Sus scrofa: one gene and its partners. The protein of the gene in region 3 interacts with the protein of the main gene of each other region in a biochemical or structural test. Links are inferred from orthologs where the notes say so. Each region holds a gene or a part of one and is shown on either strand. Other genes may lie near its edges.

Region 1 (4,155 bases), on a different chromosome or scaffold from region 3:
TAACGCCATAAGTAATGGAAGCCAACTCTTGATCTAACATTGGAGGATGGAGAAGGTTCCAGAGGGCTGTGAGGACAGGAGATAAAGTGGGTGTAGCTTACCTGTTCGCTTACTACAAAGTTTGTCTTTAACGTTGTCAGCCTCACGGGAAAAGAATTCAATGAGTTCATCCTCATATTCCTCCACAATGCTCTCACACTGTCAACCCAAGGGAGAAATGAATGAGAGAGGACAGCAAAGAAAGCCTCTGGTCTCCACCTCCGAAAAGGACAAGGGCATTAACCCAGCTTTCCACTTGGGCTCTCCAGTAACTCCCCTAATTTCTAAGAACCCGATACCCACTCCCATAGCTCACCGCGAACTTGAGGGTGCCGCTGATGTCTGAATCAATTCGGATGCCCTGTAGGTCCAGTTCATTGGACTCTCCATTCCGGCCCACTACACGCACGTAGTTCTTGCGGTGGGTGGAAGGATCAATCTGTTCCCCATACTCCTTCATCCGGTCACATACCTCCTCTAGCAGCTCTGTGAGGTGGGCCTCTGAGCGAGCATAAGGCACCTAGAAATGTCCTCAGCCTTGGGTCACATTCTTCTACCTCTGTACATTAGTAATTTGTGTCCTTACTTTTCCTTCCAAATCTAGCCCAACCAATCTATTCTAAAAAGGCTGTCCTAATTTAAAAACAGTATGATTTGTACAGTTCCAAAGTATTTTCAAATATGTGAAACTATTTTACCTCATTATACAAGCCTAAAACGTAACATAGGTGTCATTAGCTCCAAATTATAAAACAACCTCTTTGACTAACCCTAATTAACTACACGTTCTCTTCCTTTGAATTCCTTTAATTCTTAGGGCTGTAAGGTACTGACTTTCTTTTTTGTATGAAAATGAGACTAATACCTACCCTTAAGAAAGAACACTGAGAGGTAGCATAGGCTTTGAGGATAACAACTGTTAAAGCATTTCACAAGCATTCATGACCTTAACCTTTCTCAAGTGCTCACTAGATACAGCTTTGTGTCTGTGTGTTATATTTCAACTAAAGTAAATTTCCTAAATATAAGGATAAGTTTCCCCGCCCCCCCCAAATGTTTTTATGTATGCTGCCATAGTAAAAACACAAGTCATAAAGATTAAGGATGTGGAGAAGGGGGTTGGTCAAGGTTCCCTCTCTGCTAAAACTTCTATACCAAAAAAAAATTATTAGGTTTGGAGCCAGGAGGCAAATGCATAAGGGTATAAACCTTCAACCTCCTCCAAATGAGACAGCCCAATCTTTTAGATGCCTCTGTGGGTCAATGTTTTCTTCATTTCTATCAAACTATGGTCCTTCTTAATTAGTTGAGTTTCTCCTTCAAAGTTAGAGTGAGTTATTTTATTCGGGGGAATAGTCACAGTTACCTCCACCACTGACTGGCTGCCATCTGGATTGATTCGGAAAGAGCCCATCTGAATGGTCTTCTTGGGATCCACCTGAGCAATTTCCCACTCTAGTTCATCCACCAGAGCCCTGCAAGCTGGTGCAAGTGGAGGGAGAGGGGGAGAAAGGAATCAACCCAGGGATTTCCACTCATCCTTTTCTCGGGCCTTGGATTCCTTGCCCTCCCAAGGCTCTATCATCCCCACCTCCCTTCCTCCCATTTCTTCTTTTGTGCCTTTACCTCCACAGTGTAGATCTTGGCTCCTTCGAGCCCAGGCAGTTCCCAGCAGGGCCCCTAGAAGCAGGGCCAGCCAACCCCAGCCTTTCATCTTTAGCGCAATGGGGTTGCTCCACCTGGGTTTGGAATGGAATAAAGCATAGGTGTGAGGAGACAGCTCCATTTCTCCCCGTCCTCCGACCACCCCCCCCCCACCTCCCCTCCCAAGGCCTACAAAGGGCTCAGTGTGATCTGGCTCCACTTTCCAGGAAATGGCCCGGACACAAAGGAGCTCCTCTGTTCCGGCGTTCGAGCAACCGGAATCCCCGGGGGCGGTGGGTAAAGAGCGCAAACTCGGGACTTGGGGCTTAGCCCCAGACACTACGTGGGCAAGTGAGGCCTTAGATGTTGGTACTTAAGCTTCGGCTGCCTACGATTCATAGGGCTATGTGGATGACGGCTATGGGTCTGTGGCTGGCGATCAGGCAAGGACGACAAGCAGAGGAGCTGCTGGCAAGGAGTAGCTGATTCTGGCCAGGAGGTAGCGAGGTGGCTGGCTGGCAAGAAAAAGCATTCAATAACTAGGGCCTATTTGAAGCCAGCATCAAAGACTGCTGCATCCCACCTCCAGCCTATAGACTATTCCCTGTACGGACCAGCCCCCTTTCTAAAGACCCCGCCATTGCTTTCGCTCCAGTCCAACCCCGACCCTCACTGCCACTCGCGTCCGTCCCACCTCTGCTCCCAGGGCCGCCGCGGTGGCCCAGGCGCTGGAATACAGCCGGACTCTCACTTTTGCTCTCAAACCTAGCACCTGGCTGCGGGAGCGCGGGGCTGTCCAAGCTTCTCCAGAGCGCTCCTGCACTTTCTAGACACGGGGTGCCCCAGCGACTGCCTGAGCCAGCTTTTCCGACCCTAAGTGGACGCCTGCCTAATCAGGGCCCAGATGCGCTGCGGTAAGAATCCCACCCTAGAGACCGACCCCAAACCCGCCCCTCCAAACTCTCGCGCGAACAGGCAGCGTAGGAGCGGCTCTCAGGCAGCGAGGACCCCAGCGGATTGCAGGACCCAGACTTGCGTGGCGAGCAGTTCCACGTGACCACCAGGGGTCAGCCGAGGAATAGGAGTGGCTAGAAGCAAGGACAGAGCCCGACGTGGTGCACCGAGGCCCTCAGGCTCGCGCATGGCAGTCTAGATGGGTTCGAGCCTTCAAAAAGAAAGGTGCGCTGCTAGCTAGTAAGAAGCCCAGGTTTCAATGCCCGGGAAACTGCATCTCCCAGGAAGCACCGCGGCACCACACAGGCTCTTTGCTGGTAGCCAAAGATCAGATATCCTGGGACCTGTAGTTTGTAAGGTTCTCCAAATTCCCTTTCATACATTTAATAGGGAAATCATAATGCACCTCTTAAAAGAACCCAACCTTAGGGTGCTGGGCAGCCACAGCAAAGACCAAACACTGCCCATATAGACCTAATTATACTCCTCCAATATCCTTAATTTTTTCTAAGATTTTTTTTTTTTTTTTTTTTTTTTTTTTTGCTTTTAGGGCTGCATCTGTGGCATATGGAAGTTCCCAAGCTAGGGGTTGAACTGGAGCTTCAGCTGCTGGTTTACACCACAGCCATGGCAACTCAGAATTGGAACCACGTCTACAACCTACACCACAGCTCATGGCAACGCTGGATCCTTAACCCACTGAGCGAAACTAGGGATCAAACATGCATCCTCATGGATCCTAGTTGGGTTCGTTACCTCTGAGCCACAATGGGAACTCCCAATATTCTTAATTTTGGACTCTAGAGCTTTATCTTCACTTCTAGGTGGGAATTTGAAAGCCTTAGTTTTTTCTTTTTTCTTGTCTTTTTGCCATTTCTTGGGCCGCTCCTGCGGCATGTGGAGGTTCCCAGGCTAGGGGTCCAATCGGAGCTGTAGCTGCCAGCCTATGCCAGAGCCACAGCAACATGGGATCCGAGCCGCGTCTGCCACCTACACCACAGCTCATGGCAACGCCGGATCGTTAACCCACTGAGCAAGGGCAGGGATCGAACCCGCTACCTCATGGTTCCTAGTTGGATTTGTTAACCACTGCGCCACGACGGGAACTTCCAAGTTTTTTCTGATTGTAATAGAAAGCCAACACAAAGGAAGGGAGGACTGAAGTCAGAGTACCCCACACTCAGATGTTCCTAATGAAATAGATGACACCCAATATTTTTCGTTTTTATTTTATAAAACATGCAGTTTAAAACAAAATTTTAAAAAATAACAAGAAAACAAAACTTGGGATGGGAGAGTGGATGGAAGACAGATGCTTCTCAGCTGTCGGCAGAAGTGAAGCCAGCAGCCAAGCTTTGTCTAGGACCCAAAGGCCCTTTTGGCAATGGTGATGTTGGCAACACTAGTTTGCTGGGGCCACCAGACTAAATGCTGGCCCCTCCAGGCAACCCTGAAGCAGAGACCTGAGTTAGGTCTTGAGCTACTACTGTTGTATCCTATCATTGTCTGGGACTAGGA
Region 2 (3,632 bases), on a different chromosome or scaffold from region 3:
GGGGTTGAATCGGAGCTACTGCTGCTGCTGCTGCCGCTGCCGGCCTAGATCACAGCCACAGCAACACCAGGTCCCAGCTGAGTCTGCAACCTACAGAACTCACGGCAACACCAGATCCTTAACCTACTGAGTGAGGACAGGGTTCAAACCTGCGTCCTAATGGATACTAGTCAGGTTCCTTACCACTGAGCCACGATGGGAACTCCCTAGTATAGAGAGATAAGCTGACTACTTCAATTACTCCTGGGGTCAAGAAGACCTCCCCAGTTATATATACACAGAGAAACTCTTGGGGGTCAAAAACGGAGGTGGGTACCAGGCCATAGTAGGTCCTGATGCCCTCCCATAACACTTTGCTCTGAAATCCATCTTGACCAAAAGCTGCACACACAGATCAGGGAGGGCCCTGGGTCTGGTCAGGTGTGAGAAATAAAACAGGATAACTGGTCAAAGAAAAACAAAGACCCAGTAGACCCGTCTATAAAGTGGTTTAAATCACCTCTCTGGCTCGCTCTTCATTCGGGGGGGGAACGCCAGCACTCCTCTTTTGGGTGTGGATTACTGCTTTGCTCTGACTTAAATAAACTACTTTTTCTTTTTTCAGTCTTTTTAGGGCCACACGCACAGCATGTGGAAGTTCCCAGGCTAGGGGTCAAACTGGGGGACTGTAGCTGCTGGCCGACACCACAGCCACAGCCACTCGAGATCCAATCCTAGCCTGTGACCTACACCACAGCTCACGGCAATGCCGGATCCTTAACCCACTGAGCGAGGCCAAGGATCGAACCTGTGTCCTCATGGATGCTAGGTGGGTTCGTTAACCACTGAGCTATGATGGGAACTCCTAAATAAACTACTTCCCTGTGTGCTCTCCAACATGTCACACTGTGTCTCTGACAATAAACTTTGTACCTGTTTTTACAGTCTTTGTCTCCTTGAAACATTCTTGCTTTCAACAGGGAGCAAGAATCAAGGCAATTCTGCTTCCAGCCTCTAGCTAAGATTCCTGGTTTTCACCCAGGCTGCTCAGGTTTTGTTTTTTGTATTTTCTAGGGCCTCACTCACGGCATATGGAGGTTCCCAGGCTAGGGGTTGAATCGGAGCTGTAGCCGCTGGCCTATGCCAGAGCCACAGCAACACCAGATCTGAGCTGCGTCTGCAACCTACACCACAGCTCACAGCAACACCAGATCCTTAACCCACTGAGCAAGGCCAGGGATCGAACCTGCAACCTCATGGTTCCTAGTCAGATTCGTTAACCACTGAGCCACCACGGAACACCCAGGCTGCCCAGGTTTGATTCCCGAGCAGAGAATTAAGATCTTGCTTCGAGCCATCACTCACAGCTGTCTCTCCAAGATCAGAACCACCTAAAGGCACTGGCCAGCCCCCCACCCCCCACACAGGAGGGCCCAGGGACAGGTGAAGGGATCCCCAAGGCGCCCCTACCGCAGTTCTCCTCGTCAGACTTGTCCTTGCAGTCAGTGTCTCCGTCGCAGCGCCAGCTGGAGTGGATGCACTCGCCACTGTGGCAGTGGAACTCGAGGGCTGAGCAGGGGTTGTTGCTCCTCTCGGGGAGTGATGAGCTGTGGCTCCTGCAGTGCTGTGGCCACTCGTCTGAGCCGTCCTCGCAGTCAGGATCACCATCACAGGCCCACAGCTCAGGGATGCAGGTGGAGCTGTTGCACTGGAAGCTGGCGGGGCCACAGGTGGGTGTGGGGCAGGATGCTTCATCCGAGCCGTCCAGGCAGTCCCGGTCCGAGTCACAGACAAACTTTGGGGCGATGCACTTGCCGTCCTGGCAGCGGAACTCATCTTGGGAGCACGTCTTGGGGGCTTCAGAAATAGACAGAAGATCACAGCCAGGTTACCGGGGAGGCCCTACACCAGCCCACTGCATAGATGGGGACACTGAGCCCAGGACAGGCCAAGCCCAGTGAGTGGACCTGGGGTAGTAGTCAGGGGCCCTGGATTTGGAACCACTGCCCCACCCAGATACCCACCCAGCTCCCGGCCCTCTCAATGCCTCGGACGTCTGTTCGTGTCTCAAGGTGTTACTGTGAGGAACGTGTGTAAAGTTCCCAGGTTGGGCTGGGCACATGGGAAGCACTATTTAAGAGTTTGCACAGGGATCCACATTCAATTTCTTGTAATAAACTATAATGGAAAAGAACATGAAAAAGAGGGAGTTCCCTGGTCGTTCAGCAGGTTAAGGATCTGGCAGTTGTCACTGCTGTGCAGTGGGTTGCAGCTGCACCTTGAATTCAGTCCCTGGCCTGGGAACTTGATATGCAGTGGATGCGACCAAATAAAAAAAAGAGAGAGAGAAATATATATATTTCTCTTCCTTTTACATTCTCTCCCATTATAGGTTATTACAACCTGTCCAGAGGTTTTTGTTTTTTTAAAGAGCCTCACTTCATGAAAGACATGTCTATACAAGAGTTCCCCAGTGGCTCAGTGGGTTAATGATCCAGGGTTGTCACTGCTGTGGCACAGGTTTGATCCCTGGCCCAGGAATTTCCACATGCCATAGATGCGGCCAAAAAAAAAAAAAAAAAAAAAAAAGTTTATATAGCTGAAAAGGAAATTATAAATAATGAATAAAATCAAAGAGCCAGCTGCCACATGCCTTCCCATCTGAAACTATCAGCCTTGTTTCTTTGTGGAACTCTCAGCTGGAGGAACAAATTCTGACCTCAGACCAGAATCTGGTCGGGTCACTTGGACGTGGCTGAGGCCCATGGCCCATGAGGTGAGGGACCCCACTTACAACAGCCTTCCTCATCTGAGCCATTCTCGCAGTCCTGCTGACCGTCACACCTCCAAGACTCAGGAATGCAGCGGTTGACACGGCCCCCACAGCTAAAGTCCCCTATCTTGCAGGTGACAGACACTGTGGGAGAAAACAGCATTGACCCTTAACTCATAGGAAGACCAACCTGCCTTGCCAGTCTGGGCTTTGCAAAGGAAAAAACCTTGGAGTTCCCTGGTGGCCTAATGGTTAAGGATCTGGCATTGTCACTGCTGTGGCTAGGGTTCCATCGCTGGCCTGGGAACTTCTGCATGCTGTGGGAGCAGCCAAAAGTGAGTAGCGAGCTCCCCTTTACATTTTATTTAATAAAATAAAAATTATAGGAGTTCCCATGGTGGCTCAGTGGTTAACGAATCTGACTAGGAACCATGAGGTTGCGGGTTCGATCCCTGGCCTTGCTCAGTGGGTTAAGGATCTGGTGTTGCTGTGAGTTGTGGTGTAGGTCACAGACACGGCTCAGATCCTGCCTTGCTGTGGCTCTGGCGTAGGCCAGTGGCTACAGCTCCGATTAGACCCCTAGCCTGGGAACCTCCATATGCCACAGGAGCACTCAAGAAAAGGCAAAAAGACTAAAATAAAATAAAAATTATATTAAATTGGAAAAAAATTAAGTGACCAGTTGGTAAGGGCTATAGGGATAAATTAGGAGTTTGGAATTAACAGATACACGACACTACATATTAAATAGATAGACGACAAGGACCTACTGCATAGCACAGGAAACTATATTCAATATCTTGTAATAACTATACTAGAAAAGAATCTAGGAGTTCCAGTTGTGGCTCAGTGGAAACGAACCCAACAAGCATCCATGAGG
Region 3 (4,208 bases):
ACTCAACTGCAAGTTATCACACTGAAGTGCAAAGTGGAAGCATTCGAAAATTAGTCAAAAAGAAAAAAAAGCCTAACCTATTCTGATTCGTATAAACAGCTAAAACATCCTTAAACATGGAATCACTTGAATATCGTGCAAGACATTTTCAGAAGCACTAAGCATTCAATATACTAGCTTCTCTCAGATACCAAATTGAACATTTCCTTCACCCTTTAAAGTTTCGTAACAAGGCAAAACAGATTTCAAATTCAGATGAATAGTACTTCAAAATGTTTCTTTCCGTCCTTTGGTAAACAACCAAAAAACTGACATGCTAAAAACTCTTAAAGGATGTGTATAGCTCACTCATCGTTACTCAAAGTTGTCACACTCACATTTTTCATGTGCTGGCAAATTTCCAAGCCAAAGGATTATGAAAAAACATCAGAACTTGGATCCAAAGTTTGCTGTGCTTAAAAGTAGTCATTTTCTTTCCTTTTTTTTTTTAAACATGCCACTGTAAGATTTAGGTTTCCTGTATTTTAGCAATAAACACTAAATTCTGGTTTCCTAGCTTGGCTCTCTTTGAGAAAAGTATTATAGACAGTCTAGAGGAGAAACCATTTTCTGTTTGAAAAAAGAAACCACATGCTCCAATTATCTATCACTATTGGTGGCTTCCTAGAAATAAAGAGATAAATTTAACAATCCAAATTCAACAATCATGCATAACACATCTGTGGAGTGGAGTTTGATTACTACTGGCCTTAAAAGAAGTTTTCCTACTAAGTTTTCAAGAAACTGAAAAACTTTTAAAATTCTGCATTTACTCGGACAGAGCTCCTTCCTACAGACTGTAATCTGACACTAGGCTGAAGAAGTTGACCAAGTTTAAGTAACCCAAGAGGAACTGTTTCCTGCTTTCTGTTAGAGCAGTCTGCAATGACCTATAGTAACACTGCTGAGGCAGAGGTTACTATCGGACAGTAGATGCTGCTATCAGGAAGTCAGTTGGTCCCTTTCTTTCTTTTTTTATTTGATTTTTTTGTGTGTTGTGGCACTGATCAAGTGTAAAAAGTCAGCCCTGCTCACCCACTGTTTATAAAGACAAGAAAAACACCAGAAGAGTTGGAAATCATACCCCAGGCCAACTATGCACCTCTCTTTTCATCTCAACAAAAGAACTGTGGAAAACTTCTGAGTTAGGAACCAACTCGCTCTGTAACAAAACAAATTTGCCTGTGAACATCTCTGGGAGGTGCAATGGCCCCTTCCTAAATGGAACCAAAGGTCTATTTGACATTGGTTTATTTTAGGGTCACTTTACCTAGTCTGTTCCTGTAAAATGAGATGAGGCTCCACGAAGAACTTGACTCTCAGTTTAAGCCGGTAAGGGGCTAGCCCATCCATCTGCTGGGAGATCCGATTTCTTAGATTTAGCCATAAACTTTCACCTTTGCTACCCGTAAATTGCAGTCCAAAATAATCAACTTCTATAATTCCCAATCGCCTGCACACCTAAAACAAAAACAAATGCAGCATGGATGAGCAAGTGGTCCACGGGATTAAAGCAAACCCAAAGGCTTTAACATTCCTGCCTACTTTAAAAACAAAAAAACAAAAAAACACAAGGTTCAACAACGGTGTTACAATTCCTGTTGTTAGCTAGAACAAGGTTCTAAGGCTCCAGGGATGTTAAACCACTACTAGATAGAGGCACAAAAGGAGTTCTCAAAATGCAGCCTTCCAGAAAAGCTGAGGAGGGGAATCCACGGGGTATTCTCCTCCTCATTCCAATCACCGGAATTCCCTCCACCAGCACAATCCGCACAGCTGATTTGGCAGCTTATTATTTGGGCAATTTTAACCATCTGGACTCCAACAAAACAAACACATTGAGCTAACACGCCACAAGTGTCAGCTAAGCTTGTAGGTTTTCCAAACATCTCAGGTCGAGGGGGTTTGAGGGCAAAGCGTTTCTCTTGAGCTGAATTTGCCATCTGCCATACTACTATGTACACTATTTGGAACCGTTCTTCTTTACTCTTAAGGAAACGCGTGCTGAAAGACAGCCGTGAGGTAGAAAAGCCAAACCTGTGGTCCTCTTGTCCCCCGCAATAGGGGAGATGCAGGTAGATGAACGGTCCATTAGACAGGTAGCAAGAGGCGAGGGCCTGGCTTATCTGCCAAGCAACCCACGGGACCTGCGACTGCTTCCAGCCACCGCAACCCGGGGCGCAGGTGGCGCTGCCAGGCCCCGCGGGGACCCGACAGGAGGCATCACGCACACACCTGCGGCAGGTGTGCTGGGCCCCCTTCTTCCAGGAGAGTGCCGGGCTGGGGGGCAGGGTGGTAGGCCCGCCGCGCGTCCCCCGAGACACCCACCCCCACTCCTCCAGGCGTCCCCCGCGCGCCGGGAAGGGGGCCGCGCGCCCCACGGCCTCGAGGAGGAGGGGGCGCGGGCCGGGCGCCTGGGGCGCACTCCCTCCGCCGCCGGCGCCTCCGCGATGCCGGCCCCCGAGAAGCCCCGCGTCCGGGCTCCTGGAGCCACCACGAGGCCCCTGGGCCTCTGGAGCCGGCTGGGGCCCCCGCCTGGCCCCTGGTCCTCACCTGGTTGAGGCAGTCCTCGCCATTGGCTTTCGCCTCCACCTCCACCTCCATCAGCACCGCGTCCGGCCTCGTCACATAGCACAGCATGGCTGGGGCCGCCGCTGCCGCCACAGCCGCCTCGTCTTTGGTGTGCGCGGGGCTCAGACCCAGTTCCCGTCTCGGCGAGGCTGGCCCTCAGGAGGCTGCAGCCTTGCAGACCCCTGCCCTGCACACCGCAGCCGCCGCGCCCTCGCCGCCACCCCCTTGCCAGCGCGCCCGGCAGCCGGCTCGCTGACTCCCGCGGTGGCGCCGCACTCCAGCAGCCCGACTGCCTGCGCCGCGACAGGGACTCCTCAGATATAGCGGCCCCGCCCCCCTCGGCTGGGAGCCCCCGCCAATCACGGTGGCCCCGCCCCTCCACCGCCGCCCCACCAGCCAATAGCGACGCCCGCTCCCCTGCCGCCCGCCCTTCCAGCGTCGGCTGAGTTCCCCTCAGCCTCCCCGGGAGGTGGCAGCTCGCGGGCGGCGGGCGCTGCGGGAGGAGGGAGGACCTGGGACGCAGCCTCTACCTCTGCCCGCTGGGCGACGCTGCTCCGAGCCAGCGATCGCCCGGGGCTCCCAGGCTGGGACGACTTTCAGTCGGGCTCGAATTTACATTGATTAAACGCCTCCAAGCAGCCGCTGTTCTTCAGAAGCCTTGAGGTGGAAGCGGATAGGAAAGAGAACAACCCCAAAGCCTAAAAAAAAACTGTTTCCCCTGTGGTTTGCCACAGTGGGTTGCTGGAAGGCGGAATTCTTGTTCTTTATTTTAGGCGCCGTCATTGAAAAAACAAAATCTGAGTATAAAAGTTTTTGCGATTGTTCAATAAGCCAGGGAGCTTGATCTAGCACTTTCTCCATGAACCCTCTCCAGAAGCTTCTATTTACCCATTGTGCTGAATCAAAACACCGTACTGGTCACTAAGGCCCTCCCTGGGGTTGCTCATCCTATCTCACACCTCATCTCATTTATTCACTTAACATTAATTGAGCACCTGCTCCAGTCTCTCAGGCAACCAGGTGTTATCCCCATCTTGGGGTAAGGAACTCATCTCAGAACCTAACAGGTGATTTAACCTCAATTGTAGCTATTAATAATTAAAGGTCTACAACTCTCCCCTCATTTACCACTTGTTTCTCTTAGTGCATTATTGAGCCTACCTCTTTGGTTTCTTCACAGAAGCCAGAAGATGTGGGTTTCAGCCTTGCACCCTTGAAAACTGACTTCATCTCTCCGCAGCTCAGTGTTTCAGCAGTAAAAGGGAGACCACAGTGTCTGACCCGCCTTTCCCCAGCATTGCTCTGAAAAGCAGCAGAGATAGTGTTCATAAAAGCATTTGAACGACCCCTTATATGTAGGGAGATATGTACTGTCAGCTCTCACTGCCTGCCAATGACTTCTGTCCTGATCCCTTTCTTGGAGTCCCAGGGATGTCTGTCCCAGTGGCCTTTATTTCTGAAAAAGCAGGAAGGATATCAGGGCAGATTACCGGTTAGAATCCTACTGCAGTCTTTCACTAAACTACAGCCAAAACAAGTCCAAGTCCTGAGCCCCAGCGCTGCAGAGGGACGTGTGCACTCGCATCTTTGTGTCTTAA

The links.
Region 1: the proteins of MYLIP (region 3) and CNPY2 form a complex in vitro, tested with the Homo sapiens proteins (2 studies listed by BioGRID). The link is inferred for Sus scrofa from reciprocal best matches to the Homo sapiens genes MYLIP and CNPY2.
Region 2: of the proteins of MYLIP (region 3) and LDLR, one has a biochemical effect on the other in vitro, tested with the Homo sapiens proteins (4 studies listed by BioGRID, with this or other methods). The link is inferred for Sus scrofa from reciprocal best matches to the Homo sapiens genes MYLIP and LDLR.

What each region holds. Positions count from the first base shown.
Region 1 is NC_010447.5:21,708,395-21,712,549, forward strand, and holds the start of CNPY2 (protein canopy homolog 2 precursor), read right to left. Parts: upstream 2,899-4,155; 5' UTR 2,378-2,898; exon of another isoform or gene 1,877-2,377; intron 1,779-1,876; 5' UTR 1,754-1,778; coding exon 1,666-1,753; intron 1,522-1,665; coding exon 1,406-1,521; intron 560-1,405; coding exon 356-559; intron 199-355; coding exon 102-198; intron 1-101. UniProt on the Homo sapiens protein: Positive regulator of neurite outgrowth by stabilizing myosin regulatory light chain (MRLC). It prevents MIR-mediated MRLC ubiquitination and its subsequent proteasomal degradation.
Region 2 is NC_010444.4:69,839,588-69,843,219, reverse strand, and holds part of LDLR (low-density lipoprotein receptor), read right to left. Parts: intron 2,897-3,632; coding exon 2,774-2,896; intron 1,837-2,773; coding exon 1,450-1,836; intron 1-1,449.
Region 3 is NC_010449.5:12,115,964-12,120,171, reverse strand, and holds the start of MYLIP (E3 ubiquitin-protein ligase MYLIP), read right to left. Parts: upstream 2,919-4,208; 5' UTR 2,680-2,918; coding exon 2,593-2,679; intron 1,501-2,592; coding exon 1,310-1,500; intron 1-1,309. UniProt on the Homo sapiens protein: E3 ubiquitin-protein ligase that mediates ubiquitination and subsequent proteasomal degradation of myosin regulatory light chain (MRLC), LDLR, VLDLR and LRP8. Activity depends on E2 enzymes of the UBE2D family.